Linked DNA regions of Elephas maximus indicus. The protein of the gene in region 1 purifies or fractionates together with the protein of each later gene. This does not show direct contact. Links are inferred from orthologs where the notes say so. Each region holds a gene or a part of one and is shown on either strand. Other genes may lie near its edges. The genes, in order: MAGED2, C1QBP and NAP1L4.

What was found.
Region 2: the proteins of MAGED2 (region 1) and C1QBP purify together in Homo sapiens (affinity purification with mass spectrometry; 3 studies listed by BioGRID and IntAct, counting the BioPlex papers as one, with this or other methods). This does not show direct contact. The link is inferred for Elephas maximus indicus from reciprocal best matches to the Homo sapiens genes MAGED2 and C1QBP.
Region 3: the proteins of MAGED2 (region 1) and NAP1L4 purify together in Homo sapiens (affinity purification with mass spectrometry; 3 studies listed by BioGRID and IntAct, counting the BioPlex papers as one, with this or other methods). This does not show direct contact. The link is inferred for Elephas maximus indicus from reciprocal best matches to the Homo sapiens genes MAGED2 and NAP1L4.

The regions. Positions count from the first base shown.
Region 1 is NC_064846.1:113,000,921-113,010,563, reverse strand, and holds the start of MAGED2 (melanoma-associated antigen D2), read left to right. Parts: upstream 1-5,277; 5' UTR 5,278-5,369; intron 5,370-5,881; exon of another isoform or gene 5,882-5,968; intron 5,969-5,995; exon of another isoform or gene 5,996-6,074; intron 6,075-6,661; exon of another isoform or gene 6,662-6,767; intron 6,768-6,854; 5' UTR 6,855-6,883; coding exon 6,884-6,928; intron 6,929-7,269; coding exon 7,270-7,779; intron 7,780-8,379; coding exon 8,380-8,688; intron 8,689-8,803; coding exon 8,804-8,867; intron 8,868-9,131; coding exon 9,132-9,211; intron 9,212-9,643. UniProt on the Homo sapiens protein: Regulates the expression, localization to the plasma membrane and function of the sodium chloride cotransporters SLC12A1 and SLC12A3, two key components of salt reabsorption in the distal renal tubule.
Region 2 is NC_064837.1:15,102,806-15,112,948, reverse strand, and holds the start of C1QBP (complement component 1 Q subcomponent-binding protein, mitochondrial), read left to right. Parts: upstream 1-6,068; 5' UTR 6,069-6,157; coding exon 6,158-6,383; intron 6,384-6,962; coding exon 6,963-7,113; intron 7,114-9,318; coding exon 9,319-9,412; intron 9,413-10,143. Other genes in the region: ATP-dependent RNA helicase DHX33, read left to right, coding at 705-791, 1,567-1,875.
Region 3 is NC_064825.1:134,918,537-134,928,482, forward strand, and holds the start of NAP1L4 (nucleosome assembly protein 1-like 4), read left to right. Parts: upstream 1-5,689; 5' UTR 5,690-5,801; intron 5,802-9,946. UniProt on the Homo sapiens protein: Acts as a histone chaperone in nucleosome assembly.

The DNA.
Region 1 (9,643 bases):
CACGTCAGAAGAGACTCTGAAACTTGCTCTTGCATGTAGAGCAGCTAAAGCGAGTGGGAGAAATGATGAAATAAAAGAGCTGAACAGAAGATTTCAAAGGACAGCTTAAGATGACAAAGTAAAGCGTTATAATACAATGTGAAAAAGGCCTGGAGTTAGAAAACCAAAAGAGAAGAACACGTTTGGCATTTCTCAAGCTGAAAGAACTGAAGAAAAAAATTCAAGCCTTGAGTTCCAATATTGAAGGGTTCTGTGGGCATCAAAAGGATGTGGAAAGAACACACAGAATCACTGTACCAAAAGGAATTGGTCAACACTCAACCATTTCAGGAAGTAGCATACGATCAAGGACCGGTGGTATAGAAGGAAGAAGTCCAAGCTGCACTGAAGGCATCGGCTAAAAAGAAGTCTCCAGGAACTGATGGCTTACCAATTGAGATGTTTCAACAAATGGATGTAGTGCTGGAAGTGCTCACTCATTTATGCCAAGAAATTTGTAAGACAGCTATCTGGCCAACCAACAGGAAAAGACCCATATTTGTGCCCATTCCAAAGAAAGATGATCCAACAGAATGTGGAAATTATTGAACAATGTCATTAACACTGCACAGAAGTAAATTTTTAATGAAGATAATTCAAAAACAGTTGCAGCAGTACACCGACAGGGAACTGACAGAAATTCAAGCTGGATTCAGAAGCAGATGAGGAATGATGGACATCATTTCTAATCTCAGCTGGATCTTGTCTGGAAGCAGAAAATACCAGAAAGATATTTACCAGTGTTTTATTGACTATGCAGAGGCATTTGACTGTGTAGATCATAACAAATCACAATAATATTGCAAAAAATGGGAATTCCAGAACACTTAATTGTGCTCATGAGGAGTCTGTACGTAGACCAAGAGGCAGTCATTTGAACAGAACAAGGGCATGTTGCAGGGTTTAAAATCAGGAAAGTTGTGTGTCAGGGTTATATCCTTTCACCATACTTATTCAGTCTGCATGCTGAGCAAATAATCTGAGAAAGCTGGACTATCTGAAGAACTCCACATCAGGGTTGGAGGAAGATTAATTAACAACCTTTGATATGCAGATGACACAGCCTTGCTTGTGGAAAGCTAAGAGGACTTGAAGCAGTTGCTGATGGAGATCAAACATTACAGCCTCCAGTATGGATTGCACCTCAACATAAAGAAAACAAAAATCCTCACAACTGGACCAATAAGCCACATCATGATAAACGGAGAAAAGATTGAAGTTGTCAAGGATTTCATTTTACTTCGATCTACAATCAACACCCATGAGAGCATATGAGAGCAGTAATCAAGAAATCAAATTACAAATTGCATTGGGCAAATCTGCAAAAGACTTCTTTACGATGTTAAAAAGCAAAGATGTCACTTTGAGGGCTAAGGTGTGCCTGACCCAAGCCACGGTATTTTCAATTGCCTCAGATGCATGCAAAAGCTGGAAATGAAAAAGGAAGACAGAAGAAGAGTTAATGTCTTTGAATTATGATGTTGGCAAAGAATATTTAATACACCATGAACTGCCAGGAGAGCAAAGAAATATGTCTTAGAAGAAGTACAGCCAGAATGTTCCTTGGAAGCAAGGATGACAAGACTTCATCTCACGCCCTTTGGACATGTTATTAGGATGGATCAGTCCCTGGAGAAGGACATCATGCTTGGTAAAGTAGAGGGTCAAAGAAAGAGAGTAAGACCCTCAACAAGATGAATTAATACAGTGGCTACAACAATGGGCTCAAGCATAGCAACGATTGTGAGGATGGTGCAGGACCGGGTGATGTTTTGTTCTGTTGTGCATAGGGTCGCTATGAGTCGGAACTGACTCGATGACATCTAACAACAACAACACCTTACAAGATTGTTCTGAGGAATGAGTCAATGTACAAAGAGCAGGGAAGATGTGTGTTAGTCCAAAAAGTGGGTGGCAGATTTCCTCATTTATGGAAAATTTAGCTTTTATTTAACAAAATGGAGCCATTACGGTTGTGGAAAGTTGCCCTCAGGGCTTAGAGTGATACAAAATGAATTAAATTGCTTTGCATATAAAAGGAAGGAAAAAGCTGAGATTCCACCAGCAGCTCAAGGGAGAGACTGGACATGGAAAGGAGGGGAACTGAGAAGTATGTTGGGGGAGAAAAAGGGCTCAACAGGAATGACGGGTGGGGCTCAAGGAGAAGGAACAATGGTGGGAACGGTTGAGGAAATTTCTGCAACAGGAAAGTCTGATGTTCAATTTTAAATTGGTTGCTATACTGTGCTGTACAACTGTCATTCTCCAAGATCCATCTGTTTTTTGCACAGGCCGAATACTTGAAAGGGGATGTCGTGGAAATCACCACCCCTGCAACTTTTAAGTGGATGGTGGCAGTAATCTCTGCAGTCCCTCCAGGAATGCGGTGTTATTGGTTTACCATTTTCCTTAGACGGCGTAGTGGTTAAGAGCTATGGCTGCTAACCAAAATGTTGGCAGTCAAATCCACCAACTGCTCCTTGGAAACCCTATGGGGCAGTTCTACTCTATCCTATAGGATCTCCATGAGTTGGAATCTTCTTGATGGCAATGGGTTTTGTTCGGTTTTTTGATAGCATAGATACAGCTGGTCTCCAGGGCCCTTCTCTGGGCCCCATCTCTTCTAACACTACAAATTCCTCCTGGTTGCTCTTTCCCTTCCCATGAATTAAAGTGCCATTCATATATTGATGATGCCTACATCTATAACCTCAGCCCAGACATCTCTCCTGAGCTTCAGACACGTATATTCAATGGACTGTGGAACATTTCCACCTGGATGTCCAACAGGTACCTCAGAATCAATGTTCAGTTCCTCTTAAACTCATTCCATTCCTCCTTCAGCATTCTATGTCTCAGTGAAAGGGATTACCATCCAGTTTCTCAAATCAGATCCCCAAGAGTCCTCTTTGACACCTTCCCCCTCCTCACCCCTCTCTCCATACCAAGCCTAGTTGCTTTTTTTATTTGTGTAGTATCTTCTTGATTCAATCTCTTCTCACTACCTCCACTGCTACCACTCTAGGCCAAGTCACAATCATTGCTCACTTGGATGACTGCAAAGGTCCTAACTGCTCTCCCTGTTTCCAGGAAGACATCTAATCCATACTCCATACAGCAGCTAGGGTCTTCTTTCTAAAACATAAATCTATGTCATATCCATGCCTAACCCGTTGCTGAGTTGATTCCAACTCATGGTGACCACATGTGTGTCAGAACTGTTCTCCATAGGGTTTTCAATGGCTGATTTTTTAGAAGCAGATCCCCAGGGCTTTCTTCCAAGGCACCTCTGGGGGGACTCAAACCTCCAAAGTTTCTGTTAGCAGCCAAGTGCGTTAACCGTTTGCACCACCCAGGGACTCCATTGATTCCTAGAACTCTTCAATAACCCCTCTGGGCTGTCAGGATCAAGATCAAAGTCCTTACCCTGGCATTCAAGGCTTGCCATGATTGGGAAAAGATGGGAATTTGGGGGAGCCAGAACTGGAAGAAAAGGAGGGGTTGTGCCTGTGTGAAATAAAGCTATGTGGATAAGGGAGAGAACCTAGGAGGCATGAAAGTTATGAGCTGATATGACAAACTTGGAGGAAGCAGCAATTCAAAGAGAAAGAAGACAGGAAAAGAGAGGCCCACCTTGAATTCTTGGGAAATGTGTTTGTGTGTGTGTTGAATTATCCATAGATCATAGGAACTCATGATATTGTTTAGTAAAGGAAACAGTGACTTCATAAAGCATAAGGACTTGTAGCCATTTGAATTACATATGGATGTAGGAAAGGTATTGAATATTGTTTCCGTAACTGACCACTGTGCTGAATTTTATTATTATTTCTAATAGTTTTTAGTTGATACTTTTGGGTTTTCCAGGTAGGCATTCATATAATCTGTCACTAAGGATAGTTTTGTCTATTTTCCATTATTTACACATCTTATTTTGTTCCCTTTAAAAGACTTATGTGAAATTAATATGGTAAAATCGTCATTTCAAATCAGTAGGGTAAAAGATGGATTAGTTTGCATATGGTGTGGGGATAAGGGATTACGACTGTGTAAAATAATAAAGTGGAATCCCTACCTCACTCCTCATACTAAAACAAATTTTGGAATGATGAAACATAAATGTAAATAATAAGGCCATGAAAAGTACTTGGAAAAAACAAAGATTTATAATATAGAAGTGTAGATAGCATCTCTAAGCACAATGAAGAACCTAGATGTGATCAGGAAAAAAACTGATATATTTGACTACATAATTAAACCCTTTTATACAGCAAAAATTATCATAAATAACATGAAAATATTTGTTATATATGTGACACATAAACATATAAGAATTATTGTTCATGGGAATATTATTTCATGAATCTTTTTGGGAGTAAGTTGACAAATTATATTAAAATGGAAGACTTTTTTGTAGGACTTGAGTTAAAAAATACCGTAAATAACCAAATATTTGTAATATATATGACATAGAAACATGATAGTGTTGTTGGGACTATTATTCAGTTTAATCCATTTGGGGAACAAGGCTGCAAATCTTGTATCAAAATGGAAACCTTTTTTTTTCTAGCATTTGACTTAACAATTCCACTTCTATAAATTTATCCTACAGATACAAGCACAATTGCAGAAATATACACATATAAGGATGTTCTTTGTAGCCTTGTTTGTAATAGTAAAAAAAAAAAAGGAAACAATTTAAATGTCCATGCATAGTGGACTGGTTAAATAAATTAGGAGACACCTATACAAGAAAAGATTATACAATTGTTCTAAGAAAAATGTGTAGTAACACGGAAAGATGTTCAGACTATGTAGCTAGAAAAAAAAACAGGTCACAACAGTAGGTATAGTGTACTATTTGTGGGGAGAGAACTCAAATAATTAGTATATGAATAGAAAAAAATCTGGGGGAATGTATATCAAAACGTCAATAGTGGTTATTTCTAGGGGATACGATGTGGACAGTTATTCACTGGTATATTACATATTTCTGCATTATTTGAATTTTCACAACGCATTACCTTTGTAATAAAAGAAAATAAAGATATAAAAATAAATTAATTCAATGAATTAATTGCTCTGAGGGGTGGTTTTGGTTGGAAGGGCTTCAGACCAAGCACCGTACAGTGGCATAAAGACGCGCTTTGGCGTGAGACAGCCCTGAACCGGGCCCCATTGCCCCACCTCCAGGAGGGCGAAGTGGGGGAGGGTGGCAGGGGGCTGCGGAAAGGGGCTGGGCTGTGCTTGCTGCAGCTCTAGTCCAGGAGGCTGAGACTTCGAGAGGGACTGAGGGAGAGCAGACGCATCCCAGACTCGCGGAGGACAAGGTGAGAGGCGTTGGGATTGGGGTTCCCTGGTAGCCAGACTGTAATTCCGGTCCTCTCCATAGCCAGGCAGGTGGGCAATTCTTACTGCACCCCTGCAGCTGGGGGAGAGATGACCCTGGGAGAGAGTGGGATGTAGGCAACAAGGACGACTGAGAGAGTAATAGGCTGTGTGGACTGGGAAGCAGCGACGAGAGGGGAGAAAAACGGGGAATCCGGCATCTTGGGTTGGGGACCCGGGATATGAGGGGGAGGGGAATACCGAGGGGGAATGTAGATCCAGAGAAGAGATGCCGAGAGGGGTTAGGGAATAATGGGGGGGGGGAGCACGTTAAGTAAGGAGGAGGAGGATGTACGAAATGGGAATAGGGAATTTGGTGGGGCAACAGAAAAATGCGATGGGGGAATAAGGAATACAGAGCAAAGCGGAGGGGGAGAATTAAGAATGAGGACCGGGGGAGGGGCAGACAGGCTGGGACGGAAGCCCCCTAGGGAGGCGGAAAGGGGCGGGTCCACTTCCGGCAAGGAGGAGGGAGGGCAGTCTCCGAGTTTCGGAGGGGCTTGGAGAGAGCGGACGCACTCGTAGGTTGTAGGAGAAAGAGGTGAGCAGGGGGTCCAGCTTTGGATCAGAGCCGGTAAGGGTTGGCCTTACTCTCTGGGAGCTGGAGAAAACCTGCCGTAAGGAACGGATCATACCGGATCCGTCTGGTAAAGGAGGGGACTGATCCAATTTGGCTGGGCCCAAGATAGAATCACTAATACTTATTTGAGGAGGGGGTGTATTAGGGAAGGGGCGGAAACAAAATGCGCTTTGCTAGAGTTGGGGGGGACGTTTTATGGAAAGGGGCGGGACCTGGAGGCACTGTTGGTGAAGGGGGTGTGAGTTGGGTAGGGGCTAGGATCACCAGGCTCTGTGATAGTTCGGAGGGAGACTTGCTGGGGAAGGAGCGGGCCAAATGGTACTGTGGACCTGAAGAGGGGCGTGTGTTGGGAAGGGTGCTGGACTGAGACGGTGAACGATGCGCATGTGTAGTATGGATCTCTAGAAAGGGGCGTGTAGAGAAGGGCCTGCACGGGGAAGCGCCAGCTGCTGAATGCGCATGTGCGGGGTGGACTTCGAAGAAAGGGCTTATGTAGGGAAAGCGGGCGGGGCTGAAATGGGCCCAGCTGCAGACACGCATGCGCACTAGCATGCGCACTATCGACCTTCACGTTCGTCTCGGGTTGCTTTGGGAAAAGGGGCGGGGTCCTCAGAGCTGCCGCGCTGGCACATCTTCTGGAGAAGGGGAGGGTGCGGTTGTAGAGAGTTAAGACCTTAGACGCTCTGGATTCCTGTGTATGAGAATGGAGCCGTTGGAGGGGTGGTGGAGGGGGGAGACTTGGGATTGGAGTCCAAAGAAGGTGAGGATCAGCCTCCAGGCAGAATAGGGGAGAGGATGTTCAGTGTTCTTTGGGAGCTCCCCTTGACCCAGGCCTTCTCCCCTTCAGGCTCAGCTCTTGCCAGGCCAACTTGAGACATGTCTGACACAAGTGAGAGTGGTGCAGATCTAACCCGCTTCCAGGTAAGCTCTCTGACCTCTTCCCAGCTTCCTTCTCCATCCCTTGTTGCTGTCCCAAATTCCTTGGCCTCTCCAGTCCCATCCTTGTTCTTCTCCATGCACTTCCCTGCCTGGGCTCTGTCCTCTCCCATCTCTCCCCCAGTGGAGAAAGGGAGGGAGGGTCCTCCCTTCTTTGGTAGTCAGTTCCTGCTCAGAGGAGGCCTTGGTGGGCTGAGGTGGTCAGAGAACATTGCAGGTAGGAGTTAGTACAGGTCACAGAAGTGCGGCTATGGAATTTTGGAGCCATTTGCCTAGTTGAGGGTGGGGAGGAGATCTGTGAGCTTCCCTGCTTCCTCTTTTTGCAGGCTGAAGCTTCAGAAGAGGACAGCAGCTTGGTGATGCAGACTCTACTGGCAGTGACCCAGAATTTGGAGGTCTCAGAGGCACCCAAGGCCTCAAAGACACCAGGGGTCTCACAGCGCCTAAAGGTCTCAAATGCTCCAGGGGGTTCAAAGGCCATAGAGGTCTCAAAGGCCACAGTGGTCTCAAAGGCCCAAGAGGCTCAGGAGGCAGCTGTCACCCATACCTCACCTACCCCTCAGCTGACTGATACCCAGGTTCTGGTAGCTGAAAACAGCAGTCCAGCAGCTGACACCAAGATGCAGAATGCTGACCTGCAGGGTGTGCCAATGCCTGCCACTAAGACCAAAAAAGTCAGTTGTGTGGCTAATACCCAGGTCAGTACAAAGTCCCTGGAGACAGAGGTTGCTGCTTCTCAGGCTCCCACAGATGAACCTGAGCCTAAGGGTACAGCTACTGAGACTCAGGAGAATCAGGATACTCGGCCCAAGGTCAAGGCCAAGAAAGCCAGAAAGGTAAGAGCTCTGCAATCACTACCCTTGCCTTTCCAGAGTTACTAAGTTGCCTGTGTTCATCAAAGCCGTAGGGCATACTGAGAGGAATGTGATATAATTCTTGTCTTCAGAGAGCTCACAGACTGGTGGGAAGATGACACATGAATATGCAGAGCTGCAGTCTGAACGTAATTTAGTTTATATTTACCTAGTAGCAAACATAAGTTAGGCCTTGAGCTAGGCACGTTCATACAGGTTATCTCATTAAATCTTGAAAGTAGATCTTACCAGCTAGGGATCATAATCACAGTTTTAAAGAGAAGGAATCTGCCTCCCACAGAGGTGAAGTGATTTGTCCAGAGTGATGCAAGCAGAGCTAGTAATGAACACAGGAAGAGAAGAAGCCTCAAGCCCCACCCTTGGGTTGTTTCTGGCCTGGTTGGGAGATAAAACTGCCTGGAAGACAGTGAAAGACAAGCCTACGAGACAGGGTAACAAATGGCTAGTGAGTCAGGGCATTACTACAGGGGTGGGATTAAGGGGGCTTCCTGAAAGAGAGGGCGAAGAAAAAGGACCATCTGCTCCACTTAGTCATGTCGAGCCTCTTCTTTGTTGATGCAGGTGAAGCACCTGAATGGGGAAGAGGATGGCAGCAGTGACCAGAGTCAAACATCTGGAAACACAGGTGGCCGAAGGGTTTCAAAGGCCCTAATGGCCTCAATGGCCCGCAGGGCCTCAAGGGGCCCCATAGCCTTTTGGGCTCGCAGGGCTTCAAGGACTCGGTTGGCTGCTTGGGCCCGTAGAGCCTTGCTCTCTCTGAGGTCACCTAAGGCCCGTAGGGGCAAGGTTCGCCGTAGAGCTGCCAAGCTCCAGTCATCCCAAGAACCTGAAGCACCACCGCCTCGGGATGTGGCCCTTTTGCAAGGGAGGGTAAGAACTCTTGTCCTCTCCACTACGCCTTTTCCACTACCTTACCTGTTTTCTTCTGTGGCATGCTTTTAAATATTTTGCCAACATATACTGTTCTTCCCATCATCTTTCCTAGGCAAATGATTTGGTAAAGTACCTGCTGGTTAAAGACCAGACGAAGATTCCTATCAAACGCTCAGGTAGAGTCCTGCTTATTTCCTCCCCAACCCCAAGCTCTGCCCTCCTTTGCCCTCCCTTCCATGTGCTAGGGATAATCCTTGCTCTTATGTTCCTACGGCTGTGCTCCCAAAGTCCTAATTTGTCCGTGTTAGCATCTTTATTCATTAGCCCAGAACCCTGGCTATGCCACCCACAGCAGCGTTGGTAAAGGGCCTATAGCTTGGGCATGGGGGGCTTCCTGGCTTTTCTTGAGCCCAGGTGCTTGTAACACTCTCCCCTTGCAGATATGCTGAAGGACATCATCAAAGAATACACTGATGTGTACCCTGAAATCATTGAACGAGCAGGCTATTCCTTGGAGAAGGTGAAGGGGCAGCCCTGGGGGGTGGGCACAGTGGAGAAACCTTGAATTAACAAAGGTACACGTGTCCCTTATGGAAGGGATCACAGAGACTCGCTAATCCAGCGTGCAGATGGTCAGGCTGGCCTATGGAGGGGTATAGATGAGCCATAGATGACACAGCAAGTCAGTGGTAAAAGCACAGCTAGGACCCAAACCACTCAACTAGCCCTAACTTCTGTCCACTGCTGGACATGCCCTATAATGTGTTCCAGATGTTCACCTCTCCCTTCCATTCCCCATTTTCTGTGTCCCTAGATTCCCACTAATCACAAAGATGATGGTAATAACAATGGTATATTTATTTCATGTTTGTTATGTGCCAGGCAGTTAGCTTAGTGCTTTATATGCAGTGTATTACTGATCTCTCTCTCTCCCCCTCATACACACCCACCC
Region 2 (10,143 bases), on another chromosome or scaffold:
CTGCAGTGAACGTCCATACATGCCTCCTTCTGCGCATGGAGAGAATTTCTCTGGGGCCAGCCTCTGGGAGTGAAGCCGCTGGGTCTGAGCTTTACCAGGCTGGCCGCGTGGCTCGCCAGTGTTGCTAACACCTTTTATACTCCCCAAAGTAATGTATGAGAGTTCCCATTTCCACTGGCCCCTCCGACTCTCAGGCAAGATGACTTTAATTCTGCCAAGTTGATGGATGTGAAATAATACCTCAGTTATTTTAAACTGTTGTCAAGATTCCTCAAGAGATCAAGGGTCCTTACATTTGTGTATTGGCCATTAATAGTTCCTCTTCTGTAGTTGGCTCTTCATGTCCTTTGTCTGTTTTTCTGTTGGATTGTTGGTCTTTTTCTTACTGATTTGTAGGAGTTTTTTGTATATTCTGGAGGTACTAATCCCTTATTGGGTGTGGTGATGCAAATATTTTCTCCTAGTCTGTAGCCCTTTCCATGGTGACTTTTGACATAAGGGCATTTTTAGTTTTACTTTAGTTCGAATTATTAATATTTTCCATTATGGTGCATGCTTTTTAATATAAACATACTTTCCTCTATTTCTGGCACCTGAAATTTTCTCTGTCTACCTTCTGAATTCAACTGTGTTCGAAAATGGTTGTATATATTTTTTCTCTGTAGGAGTGAGGGGATTGTAATATCTCTTTTTGTCCTGCTCAGGACTGGTGCAAGGAGAATTTTGTCCACAGCAAGAATATGATGCTGGTCGCGGAAGTCAGAGCACAGCTGAGGGATATCTGCTTAAAGGTATTGTTCTTTCCTGCCATTCCCTGGGGGACTAAGCTGTCACTTTTTTCTAGGTAGGATTTTTTTTTAATTGTTTATTGTTAGTGATTATGAAAGTAGTTACCACTGTGGGAAAATTGGAAAATAAGGAAGAAAGTAAAAATTACCCACAATTCCACATCTCACTATTTTGGTTTCTTTCTTGATAGCCATGTTGTTTAAGTGCATTTTTTTTTTCATGTAGTTACATTTATGTATAATCCTTATTCAGCTTTTTTTTTTTTTGGTACTCAGCTTTTATAAATGCTTTTATGAAGTGTTTTTCCACTATTATTAAAATGCTTCATAAGAATTTTTTTAGTGGGAATATATTATTTTTTTAGATTATAAAAGCAAATGAGTATTTGTTAAGTATTTGTTAAACAATGCAGAAAATAGTGACAAATAATGCAAGAAGTTTGAAAGTCTCCCATAGTCCTGCCCTTCCAGGGCTAACCACTGTTAAGGTTGGAGTAGCTTCTACTGGACTTTTTTTCTGTGTACGTGTTTGTGCATCTGTCTCTGTGTATGTGTGTGTGCACCTATCTCTGTGTGTGTGCACACCTATCTCTCTGTATGTATGTGTGTGCATTTGCGTATGTGTGTGCACCTGTCTCTATGTGTGTGCACCTATCTCTGTGTATGTGTGTGTGTGCACCCTGGTTTTTAAATTTTTTTTTTGCATTGTTACACCATGTTGTGGTGAGCAGGGTTTACATGTGAGATCTTTTCCATTTCTTGCTTTCTCCTGAAACAGATGTCAGTGCCGGTTGTGTCATCCCGAGGAAACACGGAGAGCATCCGTCGCTGCCTGGCACACAGCCTCTTCATGAGCACCGCGGAACTTCAGCCGGACGGCACCTATGCCACCACAGACACCCACCAGCCAGTGGCCATCCACCCCTCGTCTGTCCTCTTCCACTGCAAGCCGGCCTGCGTCGTGTACACCGAGCTGCTCTACACCAACAAGTGCTACATGCGAGACCTCTGCGTCGTGGATGCTGAGTGGCTGTACGAGGCTGCCCCTGAGTACTTCCGGAGGAAGCTGAGAACCGCCAGGAACTGAGCCACCCCAGTCGCTGCCAGAATTGCTGCTTGCCTGGGAGCTTGGCTCACATCTGTCCTCCTAGCAGTCTCTTAGGCCGGCGCTAAGAGAGACATGAGTTTCATAGAGCTGGTGCACCCAGCTTCCAGGAGCTTGGAGGCGTCTTTGTTTACACTTTTATGACTCTACCATGTAGAAAGTATACAGGCCATTTATACTTCGTAAACTTCAAAGTTATGCTTTTGGTTCTTGCTAGCTGACTTTGGGCGACTTAGTTAATTTCTGAGCCTCAGTTTCCTCATCTGCCAAGTGGGGATGATGATGATAATACTTCCTCTCAGGGTCCAGGTCATGAAGTTAGGGGAAAATGAGTGGAAAGTACCTAGAGCTGTGTCTCACACACGACAGACACAATAGACATACAATAAATTGTGAGCCATTATTGCTTTTTACATGATGGGAATTGAGTACAACAAAATTCCATGAGTTCTTATGACCGTGAGGGGGACACTCCGAGAGGGGCCGTAGGAGGTCACAGAGCTTGGATGTTGTCCTTAGATCTACTTTAATTTCTATCTGAAGTTTTAAAATAGAAAACATAAGAAACTGACTTCTGTAGAAGTCTCCAGAGGGAGGTGCTTTTGTCTCTGACCTCATGGGATGGCTGCCCCCAGTGGCCCCCCACTGCCCAGGGTATGGCCTCCCTCTTGCTGTCTCCACAGAGACCGGTAAGGGAGTGCCCCCAGGTCGCCAGGCTGCGTCTGCTCCAGGAAGTCTCCATCTTTGGTGCCTCTGTAGTACATGTCTCCTGTCAGTGCTCTTAGGAGACATTTCAGCTTCCTGAGCTAAGGTTGATTTGTATCTTTTGAATCCTGTAAGTATAGACGTCAGAAACTGACTTTTTAGTATAATGGCTCCCAGCATACCCAGTTGTCTTTTTTCTCTCTGACTGGGCTCATATAAGCATGTCACCATAAGGAATGGCTCTGGGCTATACCTCAGCCATTTCTCTTCTGGCAGGACCCCTTACTCCGAGAACCTGGGTGGCGGTGGTGTAGCTGCAGGCCAATGAGAACCCAGAGGGCATTGGCTCATCCCGTCCACATCTTGGCTTTATATTCCTTGCTGCTTATTTATTTTCTGTCATCTTTTTCCTTCTTCTTAGGCACTTGGGGACAATCTGGCTTTGCCACTTCTTAACTGTGCCTGTTACCCACTCCTGCCCTCACTTTCCACATTTATCAGAGGGAATTGGAAGACCTGCACAGTCTTCCTGTTCCCATGTTTTGAGAAGGGAGAAGACACCAAAGGTTCTTCTTAGGTATGCAGTTATCAAAAGCAAATAATCTTTCCCCAGAGAATGTTCGGTCCTGGAAGAAGCTCTTTAATTGTGCTTCATTGGTCTAAACACATCTGTGCAGAATTTGGTCATTTCTTAAAATCGCAAAGTGAATCATGCAGTTTACAGGCATGGGGCCAAACTGTGCCTAGAATCTTCTTCAAAGACAGCGGACAGTCTCTTCAGTCTGGGTCAAGGAACTCTTCCGTGAGACCACGCCCAACGGAGTGCCTCAGTCCCACATTGTCCCCAGTTGTGCACGTGAAGGCCAGATCAGTTTCTATGACACCGGCTCCACCCTTGAGCATTCAAGCATTTAACCTGTGTTCAGGGGCTGTCGGGGCACCTGCGACTTATTTCTATTAGAAATAGCTACATTTACACCAAACAGAATTTGACAGATCCTGTACACCCTGTCTCACTGCGTTCTTAGACTTGTAGCTGAGGGCAGTGGTGGTTCAGTGGTAGAATTCTCACCTTCCATGTGAGAGACCCAGGTTCGATTCCTGGCCAATGCACCTCAAGTGCAGCTACCACTCACCTGTCAGTTGAGGCTTACATGTTGCTGTGATGCTAAACAGGTTTCAGCAGAGCTTCCAGACTAAGGCAGACTAGGAGGAAAGGCCTGGTGATCCACTGCCGAAAATCAGCCAGTGAAACACTACGGGTCACAACAGGCCAGTCCTGTTGGGCAGGGGGTCCCCGTGAGTTGGGGGCCGACTTGACCGCAGCTAAGAGACACAATTTTTAGCTAGCTCTTCCTCAGAACTACTTGCTTTTACCATTGCTAACTTTCTGAAAAAAAAAAATTTTTTTTTCCCATGTATTTTATAGAGTGCCAGCAGGCAGGAGGGTGTTTAGCCTGACTTGGTAAAAGAAAACATTATATTTCTAATAAAACATTCATCATGATGGTAAAAAATTAGGGGTAGGGTGATTTATTATATTTCTCAGCATATTATCTAACTAGAGGTGTTCTCTGATTCACGCAAAACTTTATGTAGATAATGTCCAGCTTAAGTACCTGAAAGTTTTCCAGAAATACCGTTTTCCGAGTGGGAGTAAGGGGTAAGGGAGTATAAATCGCCTCTGAGTAGCTTTAACGTTTCTGTATAGAAATACTTTTATCACTAACATTCTGGTAGAGTTTTAATATTTAGGTTTTTATCGTGCTTTTTAAGATGTTAAAACTTTTAACCTGGTTGCTCAGGGATTAAATCAGATTGGAAAACCCATTCTGACTCCTATGTATTACTACAAAGAAAGAAATGGTTATTTTTATTGAGCTGCAGGGAGTAGTATGCTTTAAACTTAGACTTTCTTAAGAAAGTTAAAATGCTTCACAATGATGTTGCAGTATCGTCCTGAGGGACTTTTTTCAATTGATAAAATCTCTGATGATGCGAGACTTCTTTTCCACCCAGTGAAATCCACATCTGGACTAGTCACTAGCTCCCCTGAGCAGCGGCATGTAAATAAATGCACTCCCAGCGTTTCGCACCCTCAGGCCTTCTTCTTGGTCATAAACTGTGAGACATCCGAAGTGAGAAAGGTTTCACTACAAGGGAAAGCACTGCAAACAGTGGGTCCTGAGGGGGCAGCAAAGAACCTTGACGTTGCATCTGTGCTGGTTTTAGCAAGGTAGCCGGACAGAGGCAAACATTTGCTCTGGGGTAAAACTCGTTACGTACTGTGACTGGTAAATTTGTTCAATCCAGCTACCAGGAACTGCTTGAAATTGGCCAGATACCATTCCTTAAACATACAAGGAAATACCGCACCTGTGGGGAAACAAGAATTTTTTTTTTTTTTGGCTTTAACAAAGAAAGTTAATTTTCTTGCAGTATAGTAGGCTAAAAGTCCAAATTCAGGGTGTCGGCTCCAGGGGAAGGTTTTCTCTCTCTCTGTTGGCTCCGGAGGAAGGTCCTCGTCCTCGATCTTCACATGGTTGAGGAGCTTCTCAGGCGCAGTGACCCCAGGTCCAAACGACACTCTCGTGGTGCTTTCTTGGTGGTATGAGATCCCCAACTCTGCTTGCTTCAAAACAAGAATTTTATTCTATTTTATTTGATCAGAATATTGTAACTTGCAAAAAAACGAGTCAGAAAAAAAATGGTTTGGGTTTATGTTGCATTTTGAGTCTGGTCTTGCTCAAACAGCTCTATAGAAACATCAGCTCTTGCATATGTAATGCTTAAATTTGCACATGACTATCAAGTCCATTAAAAATCAACCTTGTACATGATGTGTGTGGCTTCTTTCTTGGGTCTCCTTTCCCTATTTACGGACGGTTGTTTAGAATATACCAAGTAATTAGTCTTAATCTTTCTCACTAATTTGGGAAGACATACTTTCTCGGTACTTTATACATCCCGTGGGTGATTCCTAACCTGAATCTGATACAAACCATAGCTTCTTGCTCCAGAACAATGATGTTCAGAGCTTGGGTGCGAGGCTGGAGGGAGGGCACAGACCCTGGCCCGCGGGAGTGAGGGGAGGCGGCCAGGTCCATCAGCAGTACCAGGAGGTGTCTGCGGAAGGAAAAGTGAAGCCACGGGCTGTGGGCGCACGGGCATGAGTTAACCATCTGGTGGGAGGGAGGATGAGGTACCAGGAAGGCCTCTTAAAGGAGGTGACTTCGGAGTTGGGGTGTTCACGAAGTCCTATTAGTCCTGTCGCGCTTTGAAAACAGTAGATGGAAACTCGGAGAGTCTAGCATCCGCGGGCCACAACTTATGCTGGCCATTTATACAGACTTGGACGTTACTCAGGTCGACTCAGAACCGGAGGCCGTCAGAAGGGGGCGCTGCACGGCCCACGAGCCTTTCGACCTTTAAAGCGGCGACGCGGGAAGCGCTTCCCGTGCGAAGGCGGTACTTCCGGCGGCGCGCTGGGTCCGGGGGCCCCTTGGCCCCAGTTGTCCTTCGCATCGGCACGTGTCGCGCCGCAGCTTCCGCGTCGGTGATGCTGCCCCTACTGCGCTGCGCGCCCCGCGCCCTGGGCTCCGCCGTGGGCGGCCTCCGCGCCGCCGCGCCCTTCCCGCCGCTCCGGCGGCTGCTGCAGCCGGCGCCCCAGCCCTGCGCCCGGCCCTTCGGGCTGCTCAGCGTGCGCGCGGGCTCGGAGCGGCGGCCCGGCCTCCTGCGGCCCCGCGGGCCCTGCGGCTGCGGCTGCGGTGGGCTGCACACTGAAGGTGGGGCCGGATCCGGGGCCGACATGGGGGGCTCCGGGGGCCCGGGGAGGGGGAGGGCGAGTGTAGGCCGGGAGCCTGCTGCTGGAGCCGCCTCCCGGAGCGCCGAGCGTTCTGTCCACTGATGAGCTGCACGGGTGGCTGAGCTCACGTGGCAGCACGTTCCCGCACCCCACCCGGGAGAGCGAGCATTAAGCCCTGGGCGCCGCCTTTATCCTGAGTCCCGCGAAAACTGAGCTTTAGGAAGGCCGAGGGCTGTGGTTGAAAGCAGCATGGTTATGTCGGTTGACAAGTTCAGGAAGGTAGTCGGGCGTTCTTTGCTTTGTGGCGAAACGTGGTCATGAGATTGTTGGAAATCACTTCTCCAGACTCGAATTCAGCTTCCCACGGAGACCGTTATGGAATTTTTACAAATGAGGCTTAAGGAAGTGAATTGGACTAAATTCCCAGAGCAACCGTCGATAGCAAAGACATTAGAGACAGCCCAAGTCCAGATATCTGGCTGCAGTAACCTGGGTCATTGTTTGATGCTTTTAGACTGATTGACTTTTTTTTTCTGTGTCATCTGGTTTCTCATTTTAGGAGACAAAGCATTTGTTGAGTTCCTGAATGATGAAATTAAGGAGGAGAAGAAAATCCAGAAACATAAGTCCCTCCCCAAGATGTCTGGAGGCTGGGAGCTGGAAGTGAATGGGACAGAAGCTAAATTAGTGCGGAAAGTTGCTGGGGAAAAGTAAGTACCAGGCTCAGTGCTTGGGAACTCCAGGGGCCAAATCCAGGACCCTGCAAGAGCTGCCCTGGGCCTACTCCAGAACAGCCTTGAGTTTAAGGCAGGTAATTTGATACATAACTTTCAAGAGAAAGAGAAGGGTGCATCTGGACAAGTTCCTAAGTTTCAGGTCATTCACTGGACACAAATTTGCTGTGGGCTGGTTACAAAGGAGACAGTAAGGAAGTGGAACAAAAGCGTGTGACTGGAAGTCTATTGGCCCAGTAAAGGCAGTCTGCAGTAAACCTTTGCTGGTGGAGAGACCATGCCCTGTCTAAATTTAGGCCTGCAAAATCAGAAATTCTTATATTCCTGTTAAAACAGTCAGTGATCTCTGGTTTACGGTGCTGACTAATAACCTGCCGGGCTGGCTCTGTGTCTGAGTAAAGCCAGGCACTTTGCTCTCTGAATGTTTACAGTAGGTGAAAAAGTAAGATATGTAATTTATAGGTAACAGGATTGGGTGACAATATAGTAAGGGCTGCACTCACAGGTGGGCAGCTTTTGACCTAGTTCAGCTCCTCCCCATTCCTAACTGTTAAATTCTTTTTCTGCAGTATGTAGTCATCCTTAATCCCACTTTACGGCTAAACATTTAGGGTCTTCTGGTTTCTTCCCCAGAGTATACAGCTCAGTGGCTTTTAGCATTCACAAAGTTGTGCCTTGATCACCGCTACCTAATTCCAGAACATTTTCACCACCACCCTGCCCCACCCCCCCCCAAAAAAGCCAAACCCATTGGCAGTCACTCCCCATCCGACGTCTCTCCCCTTAGTAACCACTAATCTACTCTCTGCCTCTATGGATTTGCGTGTTCATATATTCTGGATACAGTTCCCTTCTCAGATATATGATTTGCAAATATTTTCTCCCATTCCCTAGATTTTCATTTTTTTGATGGTGTTCTTTGAAGCATAAAAAAGGTTAATGTTGATGAAGTCCAGTTTATCTTTTTTTGCTTCTGTTTTTAGTGGCCTGACCCAAGGTCACCAAGATTTATATCTACGTTTTCTTCTGAGTTTTATGTAGTTTTGGCCGTTATGTTTAGGTTGGTGATTGGTCTTGAGTTAATTTATACCTGTGAGGCAGACTACTGATTCTTTTTTTGCCTGGGGGTATAGTTGCTTTTTGCCATACATAGATCAATTGTATGTTCTGTCACTTCACCTAAACTGTTTCCTTCGGAGTTGGATAGTGAGCCGTAACCAGCTTCTGGCTATTATAAATAAAACTGCAGCGAATGTCATGCATTTGTGTGCCCAGGAGCTCAGCTTATTGCCTAACACTACTGCAGATGAGGTAGATTTTGTGGTTGAACCTCAAACCACATTGTTCCTATGGGAAAATGGCTTCCTGGCAAAGCAGCCAGTTAGCACCACTCCAGGGGCACCTATTAGTGTGTGCCGAGAGGTGTCCTTCCTGTAAAGCAAATGGGAACAGTACCTGCTGGAGTGTGCAGCCCAGGATTGCTACTTCCAGATTTAGCATCACTGGAACTTTGACTCAGATTTTGGAATGTGATTGTCAGCTGAGCGTGCTTGCTTGCATCTTCAGATTGTCATTAGCTGTACACAGATGAATTGTGTGTTCTGTCGCTTCACTAAAGTGTTTCCTGGCCTCCCACAGCACAGCGGAGAATGAGTCTGTCCTGCAGCATGTTCCCGGTGAAGTCCCCCTTCCTGGCTAGGGCTGCAAGTGGTCCTCAGCTGATGTAACTCCAGTGCTCACTCGCTTTTCCTCCCAGGGGCAGGTTTTGTGATGGAGAAAGCTCTTAAAGGAGCACCGACTTCTCAGCTGCCCACCTCCATCAGGAAAGTGCCGGGGAAAGACTAGGGCAGGCAGTGTCAGCTGGGCAGTGAGCCCTGGGATGCTGGCCTGTTGGAAGTAGCCGACATGTGACTGTATTTGGCCATGATGGACTAGGGCTCATGAGTTTGACTTCCAGCAGCTGGCACAAAGTAGACGCACTTGAGGCCTTTTGAATCATTCTCAGGGTTGGGTGTAGGTACCTAGGCTTTTCTGGAAGTTCTGCACATAATTCAGATGTATAGCCAGCTAGGGTACAGACATTGTTTCAGCAAGCGCTGCTGGCTACAGCAGGTTTGGATACTTGTGAATTAAACTAAGTTAACGTTACACTGTGCCTGTTGTTTTCCTTCGCCCTCCTAGGATCACTGTCACCTTTAACATTAACAATAGCATCCCACCAACATTCAGTGGGGAGGAGGAGCCCTCACAAGAGCAGAAGGCTGAAGAACAAGAGGTAAGCTTGTAACACTGTAACCAGCCTTTCCCTGGGATTTCTGGCAGACTACAAAGGAGCAGTTCCTTTTTTGTTTTAACTCCTAAAAGGCCTTGAGTGGCACAGAAGGCTAAGTTGTCAGCTGCTAACTGAAAATTTGGAGGTTCAAGTCTACCCAGAGGAGCCTTGGAAGAAAGGCTTGGTGATCTATGTCTGAAAAATCATAGCCGTTGAAAGCCCTATGGAACACAGTTCTACTGTTACACCATGGGGTTGTCATGAGTCTGAATTGACTCAATGCCAGAAAAAGACGGCAAAGGAAAACCCTCCTGAACTTTTGTAGAGCAGCAGTTTCTGGCCAGCTTTGGCACTGGGGCCATGTGGGACCTTTTCCTTCTCAGGTACTGAATACATGACCATCTGTAGGCTCAGGCTCCAAAAGTTGGCCTAAATTCTCTTGATGGAAGGATTTGAAACTTCTTAACTCTTCCCACAATGGGGAGATGTTTGAGGTCAGAGATTATCATTTGGAGTGTTTTCAGGTGAGGGAATGTTACTAACATGTCACAGGCTGGTAATAAACACCCAGTCACCTCAACCAAGGTAGCAAGCCAGGTGCGTCAGAGGTTTTATTTAACACTTGGCAAGGTGAGCTCTTCCCTTAGGCTGATGTGGACCTGGGTGGTGCCCAGTCTTCAGATATGTTGGGAAGCCTGAACAAGGCCCCAGGGTCCCCAGACTTTCTCACTAAG
Region 3 (9,946 bases), on another chromosome or scaffold:
AACGGGGCATCAGGATTGGAGGAAGACTCATTAACAACCTGCGTTATGCAGATGACACAACCTTGCTTGCTGAAAGTGAAGAGGACTTGAAGCACTTACTGATGAAGATCAGAGACCACAGCCTTCAGTATGGATTACACCTCAACATAAAGAAAAGAAAAATCCTCACAACTGGACCAATGAGCACCATCATGATAAATGGAGAAAAGACTGAAGTTGTCAAGGATTTCGTTTTACTTGGATCCACAATCAACAGCCATGGAAGCAGCAGTCAAGAAATCGAAAGACGCATTGCGTTGGGTAAATCTGCTGCAAAGGACCTCTTCAAAGTGTTGAAGAGCAAAGATGTCACCCTGAAGACTAAGGTGCCCCTGACCCAAGCCATGGTATTTTCAATCGCATCATATGCATGTGAGAGCTGGACAATGAATAAGGAAGACCGAAGAAGAGTTGATGCCTTTGAATTGTGGTGTTGGCGAAGAATATTGAATATACCATGGACTGCCAAAAGACCAAACAAATCTGTCTTGGAAGAAGTGCAGTCAGAATGCTCCTTAGAGGCAAGGATGGCGAGACCGCGTCTTACATACTTTGGACACATTATCAGGAGGGACCAATCCCTGGGGGACATCATGCTTGGTAAAATAGAGGGTCAGTCAAAAAGAGGAAGACCCTCAGTGAGATGGATTCACATAGTGGCTGCAACAATGGGCTCAAGCATAGCAACAATTGTGAGGATGGCGTAGGGTCAGGCAGTGTTTCGTTCGTTCGGTTGGCCGTAGGGTCACTGTGAGTCAGAACTGATTCCACGGCACCTAACAACAACAACATAAAAACACGCAGCAACAAAATCAGCAGTGTGTGCAGACGAAACCACGTGATTCGAAGCATCATTGTAGTTGGATAATAATGACAGCTCTGACCAGAACACATCAGAAGATTCAAAAAGTAAATTAGCATAGAGTTTTAGCCTTGTGGGTATATTGATACACGTAAGCTGGGTTAACAAAAAATGTTTTTGTTATTATAACTACAGAGATGCTTTTATAAAAAATAATAAAAGCTGAAACACTGTACGGAAATTTTATAGACAGTCATTTTGGAGTCACCCCCTCTGACAGTGTCACCTGGTGTGGTCTACACCCCTATGCCCCATAGTGACTCCCCTGGGACAGGGCCATGGATGACCATGGGCCAGGGAGACGGCACTCCATTTTCTGGTGGCTGCCAGTGATCTTTGGCATCTTTTGCAGCTTATGAATATATCTGCCTCCGTCGTCACATGGCGTCTGTCTTCCTTCTGTATGTGACCCTATCTCCACGTCTGTTCTCTCAGGACCCTCCAGTCATAGAGGGCCAGGACCCACCCTACTGTGGTATGACCTCATTAACGGACCACATCTGCAAAGACCCTGTTCTCCAAATATGGTCACATTTACAGGTGCAGGGTTAGGACTTCAACGTTTCTTCTGCGGGACACAGTTCAACCCACACAGACAGGTCCTTTGCAGGTTCCAGAGGGCTGCTCCATGTGAGGCCGATGCCTGGGTTCTCATGTCTGTTTCTGCTTGTCATAGGCTGGGTTTTCTAGAGAAGCAAAACCAGTAAAGCGCATAAATATACATAGAGAGAGATTTGTATCAAGGAAACGGCTCACGGGGTTGTAGAGGCTGGAACATCCCAAGTCTGCAGGTCAGGATAGAGACGTCTCCTGATCCAAGTAGCCGCAGGGACTGTTGAACCCAAGATTGGCAGATCAGAGTGCAGGGTTCTTGCTCACAGGCCGGGAACATCAATGAATCCCAGGATCGGGAGGCAAGACTGCAGGTAAGCTGCTTGTTCAAGTCCCAAGAACCGGAGGTCAGATGAACAGGACCCAGCCGCAGGATCCAGAGCAAGCAGACCCTGAGCCCTGCCAGAATGTTCGCTTATATTCAGTGCAGGCCACACGCCCAAGAAAACTCCCTTCCAACTGATTAGCTATTCACAGCAGATCCCATCATGGCGGTGACCACATATCAAATCTCAACGGGGAAGTGATCACAACATTACATGACTGCCAAAACACTGAGAATCATGGCCCAGCCAAGTTGACACATGATCTTAACCATCACACTGCTGAAGGACCAAGACCACTGAGAGGTGCCAGACCCAGGCCAGGAGGACTCAGGGTGGTGTCAGGGCATCCTGCTGACAGCCACTCTGATCCTGGTCTGGAGCAGGGCACCCGCATCTCATTCCTGCCTGCAGGGGAGGGTGCTGAGACTCTGCCTGCCCCTTCCCACTGTGAATCTCTGTCCCTGCTACCTGCTCTGGCCTCACCTCCCTGGAGGGCTCCCCAGAGGGCTCTCTTTAGGTACACACACCACCCTGAGCTATCTGTGTTTCCTGGGGTGTACTGTGCTGCTCCCTCCCCCCAGGCCTCCACAGGTGCCTGGCCCTAAACACTGCGCCTTCCCTGGCCCTGCTGGGCCTCTCCTCCTGGTTCTCAGTGTCAGCGAGAACATCACTTCCTCCGGAAGCTGGCCAAGGCTCTCCTGCTAGTGGTGGGGCAGGGGCAATCATCGGTGAACAGGGGCCAAGAAAGCAGCAGGCAGGGGGATGTGGCCATAGCTGGGAGGGGCCGGGAGGGCCTCTGAGGGGAGATGGCCATCCAGCTGGACCCCAGTGGCAGGAGGAAGGGACGATGTGGGCTCAGAGAATGTTGATACCATTCATAATCCCAAAAGGTGCATGCTCAGGCTCATGGGGCCTTCCTTCAAACCCACAAGGGCTGGGGGCATGGACCCCTGCAGCCTGGACACCGAGACCTTCCCACCCCCACCCGGGCTGGTCTGCTCTCTCCAGGGAGCACAAGGGCACAAACACACCCAGGGCTCTGCCCCTCTGGCTCCAGGAATGCCCTTGGCTGGGCAGGCCCTGGTAGTCTCTGCTCCTGCCGCACAGGTCAACCCTGGACAGCACTGGTCCTGAACAGAGAGCTTGAGGGGCGCCATCCAGGCTGAGAGTCACATGGCACTGGCTTGAGCAGGGCCTCGGAGCTGGTTTAGAGAAAGACCCGGCTGTAGCCCTGACCTCAAGCCTGTGCTCTCGGTGCTTAGCCCCCTTCTCTCACTTCCTCTTTCCAGGCCACCCACAGAGGCGGCGAGATACTGACAACAGCCCATACCCCCATCACACTGACCACTGGTTCAATGTTGTTCTAACTCTCTCCCACCCGCAAAGCTCAGTGTTGTTGCTGTCAGATCGGCTCTGACTCATGGTACCCCCACGCACAACAGACTGAAACATTGCCTGGTCCTGTGCCATCTTCAAGATCACTGGTACGCTGGAGTCCATTGCTGCAGCCACTGTGTATCGTGAGGGCCTCCCAGCCGAGGAGCTCATCTTCCAGCTCTGGATTGGACAATATTCTGCTGTGATCCATAAGGCTTTTATTGGCTAATTTTCAGAAGTAGATCACCAGGCCTTTCCTCCTGGTCTGTCTTACTCTGTCAACTTCGCTGAAACCTGCCCACCTGGTGGCATAGCTTCCAGCATCTCAGCAACATGAAAGCCACCACAGTATGACAGACTGACAGATGGGTGGGTGGTGAAGTAGGCAGTGCCCCCATTTTATAACTGCCTCAGCCTGCACAGGACACTACAACAGAGAGCTTCAAACCTCTGGAGTGACCCCAGGGAGAAGCCCCTACTCACAGCTGCTCCACTTACAGAATCCCCAAGGAACAGGCCCAGCTGCCCATGTGAGCCCCCTTACCCTGGCTCCCACCGGCTCCGAGGGCCAGCTCCGAGGTGGCTCTAACCACCTCGATGCCTCCACGCCCTCACGGCTTCTTTGGGGATCATCACCCACCACCGCCTCCCCCCAAAATTCAGGCTCAGACAGACCTGAAGGCTTTAAATGGATTTGAAATTTTATTCAATAGAAGGAAACTTGAAAAGGCTTAGGTTCTTTTCTTTTGTAGTTTCCTCAGCTGTTTATGCTTTTTTTTCCCCAAAAAAGTAAAGTAGGGTTATTTCAGACAAGTCAGAAAATCCAAATAAGGCAGATAGGAATTGGGACACTCCCCCTCCACCCCCAACACTCAGAACAGCTGAGCCAAGCTCACATGTGTGGTCACACCAAAGGCAGGAGCTGGTCACTCTGAGGTTTTTAACCTACATCATGTCCTTAACAACCTCCCAACTCAGAGCCTTTACAGGGTCTCTTCTTTTTCCCTGTTGTAAACAGCACAGGTTAGGAAAGATTTGGTGAAAAAAAAGGAGGAAAAAAATTCATTTTTTTTTTTTTCCAAAGCAACCCCACCCAAGGAAAAATTTCTGGAAAGATGGGCAAGAATAGTTAAAGACCCACAGCCACACTGGAGAGCCCAGAGATGAGGAGATAAGCCAGTCGCAAGCAAATAGTTGGCAGCTGGGACTTACATTTTCCAACCACATCGTCATCCTGCCCACGTTGGTTTTAGCTCAGTGTTTCTCCACAAACTGTGATTCTGAGAGTGTGGGGTTCGTGACCCCAGTCCCAACCCAGCCACAGGCTGGAGAGAACTGGATAGGGCAAGGTGAGGAGGGTCACCCCTACCTATACCCCACAGCTTCCTGGAGCGCCAGGGGCCCCTCAGAGAGCCCACCTCGCTTTGCTCTGGTAGGCTGTGCCCTGGGGGGGGGGGCAGGCTGTGCCCTGGGGGGGGGGGCAGGCTGTGCCCTGGGGGGGGGGCAGGCTGTGCCCTGGGGGGGGGCAGGCTGTGCCCTGGGGGGGGCAGGCTGTGCCCTGGGGGGGGGCAGGCTGTGCCCTGGGGGGGGCAGGCTGTGCCCTGGGGGGGGGCAGGCTGTGCCCTGGGGGGGCAGGCTGTGCCCGGGGGGGGGTAGGCTGTGCCCAGGAGCCCAAAGCACAAGAGGGGTTGGGGTGCAGACCGCCCCCCACCCCCAACACGAAGTAGGCAGTCCCCACTGTTGCAGGTGCAGAATGGGCCTCCACCCGGCCTGGGGTCCCGCAGGAGGTGACCTGTCGCCTGGGCCCTGAACGGTAACTGGACCCCAAGAATGGAGTGATGAGACAGGGTCCCGGGGGAAGGGGACGCCCCCTGCGGAGCTCTGACGGCGGGATGAGCCAGGCGACTACAGGAAGGGGCTGCACGAGCAGGGGCGCGGGGGAGGGGGCGGAATCACGAGCTAGGAGGCCGGGTGGAAACACGTGGGGAGGGACAGGGTGGGCGGCAGATCCGAGGGATGGCGGCGGCGGAGGGCGGCGCGGTAGGGCGCGGGCCCACGGGGCGCGGACCACGTGTGACGGGTGGACGCCATCCCGTTTTCTGGGAGGGGCGGTGCCAGTCCCGTGAAAGGGGCGGGAGAGGCGTCGGAGCGCGGGCTGCGCACGGGCGGAGCAGGACGCCCGGTGGAGCCGCCCGAGGAGGTGGAGGCCCGGGGGCGCCCCAGCCGCCCACGTGCTCCGCGGCGCCGACACTTTAAACCGGCGAGAGGAGCGCCGCGCGCGGCCGGGGCGCGGTCACGCGTCTCATTTGCATACGGCTCGCGCAGTCCAAGCGCGGCGCCCGCTCTGCCGCCTCTGATTGGTCTCCTTCGGCCTCGCCGAGGTGCGGTTGACATGCGCAGCTCTGGCCCAATCGCAGCCCGTCTTGCTTCTGGAGGGAGGTGCCCGGGTGGCGGTTCGGCCAATGGGGCGCTGCGTTATTGGCGGCCACGGCGGCGCTGCAGCCGGAGCGAGAGGAGCCGCCGCAGCCGCCGCCACTGCCGCAGAAGGCGTGAGGTGTGGAGCCGCGGGGTGCGGGCCTGGCCGGGTAACGGTGCTGCCGGGGGCGGGAGCCGGCAGGGCGGCGGGCGGGAGAAGGGCGCGGCGGGCCGGCCGCGGGCGCCGTCTGTGGGGGCCGCGCGGCTCGGGGCCAGGGGCGGGGCCCGCGGCCTCCTGCCTGGAGGCGGCCGCGGCCGAGCGCCGCCGGGACCGCGGGCCGGGCCTCCCCTCCCCCGCCGCCGCCGGCCCTGAAGGTCAGCGGCCTGGTCGTCTGGCTCCGGCCGGGTCCGCGGTGGCCGCGCGGCTCCCGCTCCGCCGACGGTGCCCTTGGGGAAGGTGAGGGCCTCGGGGCCGCTTCCCGCCCGGAGCTGGTGCGGTCAAATCTCCCGCCAGCGCGGCCGCCTCACGTGCCGGCCCCGAGGCCGGGCGGGGCCGGGCAGCGGCTCGAGGCTCCCCGGCGGTCGAGAGGCCGCGTTCGGGACTTCGCTTCCCGAGCGTGGGCTTCCCCGCGGGCTGGTGCGGCCCGGGCCCGGGTGGCTGGAGGCGGGCTAACGGCGGAGCTTCGTTTCCGAGCGCCTGGTGGGCTGGGGCCGCTCGACGACAGGCGCAGATCTCGGTGGTGTTGGTCAGCTGCCGCGGGGAGCTGGGCGGCAGAAACGGGGTGCTGGGCGGCAGAAACGGGGTGCTGGGCAACACGTGCTCTGCTGGGAAGGCCGCGGGCTCAGGCGCCTTAGGCGGGTGCCCCGAGGACGGTCGGTGGCGCTTCAGTTACCCCGGCATCGCAGGCGTCAGGTCTGCTTTAGGGGTTGAACCCATCCTTTAGGAGAGAAGATGTTTCCTCCCGAGGAAAAGAGGAGGAGTCGAGCAAGGCTTAGACGCCCTGGATGGGAAGGTTCCACTTGCCGTGCACAGAGGGTCTGGGAATGACTCTGACGTTGCCCAAAGGGGGTTAGTACTACACAGGTGTATGTTTTTACCGATTAAGTAACTTTTTTTTTTTTTTAAATAATCTCTTCCTTTTTTTATTGAGTGCTTCCTGTTCACGGCAGCCAAGGATTGCCTGGTTGGGACGAGGTCTTCCTTCCACCTTCCATCCTTCTCCTTAACTCGGCAGTAGCATCGCAAGTCTGATCGAGATAAGGGAGGCGGAGGTGCTTAGTGTCAGAAATTTTCATTCCCGCATTCAAAACCTTCAGACCCCCCGAATTGTGCCACTTGACATGTGTGGGTGAATGTTCATGTGTCTGGCAAGAAGGTCCATCGTTCTCTCCCCGATCTCAAAGGACTCTGTGATCCAACGTAGCTTAGGACGTATCTGGCCAGGCTTTGGGTCACCTACCCACGCCGAGTCACTTTCCCAGCTTCACAGCCCTAGGAGTCTCTTTTCATCTGCCTGTACTTAGTGTACTGTGTAGAAACAGGCTTGTGGAAACTTCTGTATTAAAGCTGAACGGGTACACAGGGTAAGTTCTTAGCTCTGCTGTTTAGGAGGTATTTTAAAGTTACTGCCCTTGACGTAGTGATAACTTCTCATGACTAGTGTTTATCATATGCCAGGGGCTGCTCTCCACTCTTTTGCATGTTAGTTCATTTCCTAGTGGCCTGTAAGATGGCTTCTATTTTTTTTCCTGTTCAATTAACCAGTGAGGTTAGGTTTAGTGACTTGTCCAAGTTGAGAGACCTTGGATTAATACCCAGGCAATTTTTCTCCAGAAGCTGTGTTTGATCTCACCTGGATACCTCCACTGGGTTTGTTGAGTTTCGATTTTTAACTTTGCCCAGATGTACCGCTTTCCTAAAGGGAAGGAAAGGCGTTTTAATGGAGAATTAGGTCCCCATTGGTGAGCTAAACCTAACTGAAGCCTGGATTATGAGGATTTGCGCTGGTTCTTGTTTTCCAGAAAGATCCACAGAGTACGAAATGCTTCCCGTGGTAGAATCTGGAGATTTCAGATTGGGATTAGCAGTTGTTAGAGGAATAACTGATAGGCAAATGTAAAATGAACTTCAAAGGAGGGAAGGACAGTGGTGATAAAGTAGGGAAATATTCCAAAGATTAAGTGAGTGACTAAAAATAAAGACCGGGGAGATGGTTTAAAAATCAGTTATCTAGCTCACTTGTTGAAGTGGAGTTGGGAAGAGAAAGAAGCCCTAGAAAATGAGTTTCCTCAGTTTATTAGCTGCTTCCTTGTTTGGGGACTAGAAAAAGACTTTCATTTTTTGGAGGTAAATTACCCTATTTTTCTGAGATTTGAGAGAATCTTAAAAGTAATACCTTTTTGGTCAGTAAAAACGCTACTGCAAAAGTTAAACTTGTATAGAATTATAGTGACAAAAAGGGACTCGTTTTACAGATGAAACAGGTATAGGGAGTGCAGCCTTCTCAAGTTTGCCTGGGGGCATTTTCACCAGAATCTTAAGGCCTCTTCTCATGGTACGATTTTATGAATTGTTTGAGCGTTGCCCTGCCGAGTTCAGTAGTTCCTGTGCCATAGGGTGTTTGCAGCCTGTTTTTTCCTAGTTGATCGGTGTTACTGATGCGGAGTGTCAGCAGGTTATCTCCACGAGCGTATCACGAGATGGCATCTGAACACATCTGCTCTACATTTTGTCTTACAAGCCTTGAGCCCTGCACTGTTTTTCATAACTCATACAGAGTAACGATTGGGAAATTGAATTCCTTGTCAGAGCTGATTTGACCATTCTCAGGTTTGATACGCTCATTACGCTGAATCCTGAAAAGGATTTTTAATACTAGTAAGTGGTCCTCTGAAAACGTGGAGGGCATTTTGATTTTGCGAACTGGCCATTTAGATTATCAGATTCTCTAGTGTTTTGAGCTTAGAGATTTTTATCTGTGTGAGTTAGTTCATGCTTCTGTGGAGATATTTTCAAGATAGAATGTGTTTAGCACCACATTGCAGCCTGGAGTTTGTACTTGAAACTTTGGCTTAAGTATTTTCATTAACCTGTCAGGGTTTTTACAACCGTTTATTGTAGAGAGCATATTGGTCTCCTGTATCTGCATTTCTCTGACTGACTATTGGGGTTGAAATACAAATACCAATGTGTAAATAGAGTTCAGAATTATTTATTTTTAAAGTTGCTTTTCTTTCTTATCTTCCTTTGGGTGTATGCACTTCCTTTATCAGTTTAAAAACTGTTGGGTATGTTTATGGTGCACTTAGATTTTGCCAGGGAACCTAGGTTTTTTTGTTTTCTAAGACAGACACTTTGTGAACGAGAGGATGATTTAAGTTCCCCAAGGACTGGAGGCCGCGTGAAGTGTGGGGCTTCAGGCAGGCAGGCGGACTGCTTGGAGCAGGTGGCCTAGTGTTGCTGTCAAAGGAGTGCTTCCCCTTTTATTTTATTTATTTAAAGCTCTTACTTTGAATAAAAAAAAAAATAAGAGGCTGATAATTGGTTTGACTCTTGCACAGCTGTGGTGACTTCAGGAGCAGAAAGTGGCTGATGCAGAATCATTGCAGGAACTGGCTCTCACCTGGTCTGCCTCCTGCGCCGACACCTCGTACACGGTTTAACAGTAAATGGTGGTTGTGCCCTCTGCCTGCCTAAACTACAGTTGAAGTGTCTGGGATGACTTTGTAGCATCTCCTTCCTGTTGAGCACAGGGTATGTGGAAAACTTTTATGGATAGTGAAGGCTTTTGACCATTCTGAAATTTTTAAAAAATGGTTCGTCATAATGTAGATTTAATTGTTTTGAGAGTCGTTGATTTTTCGTCTGCTCAATTAAGTTGTAAGCAGGGTTGTTTTACTTTGTTTGCCATTGAGTTTGAAATTTCCTGAGCCTTTAGTAGCAGGAGAGACGATGGATTTTTGCAGTATGAACATGACAGAAGATGGCTTTGTGCGCGAACTTTTCCTTGCTGATCTGGACCACTCACTCTGTAGCCTTAGATCTGCTCTCACAGGTCTGTGCTGTGAGCTGTTGGGACTAAAGGTGTTTCAGTTGTACACGCGTGGGAACGAGTACTACCCTTGAGAAGATGTTGGTTGTTCACTCCACTGTTACTGGGAGTGTTTTGTGTCTTTTTTTCACTGAGTCAGCAAGTGTTCCTGGGCCTTCCACGTGCTGGCACGGCTCTAGGTCCTGGGCTGCTGCGGCACTGAACAAAGCAGACAGGCTTGCCCTCCTGGAGCAGACGTTTCTGTCGGGGAGATTCTGGCAAGT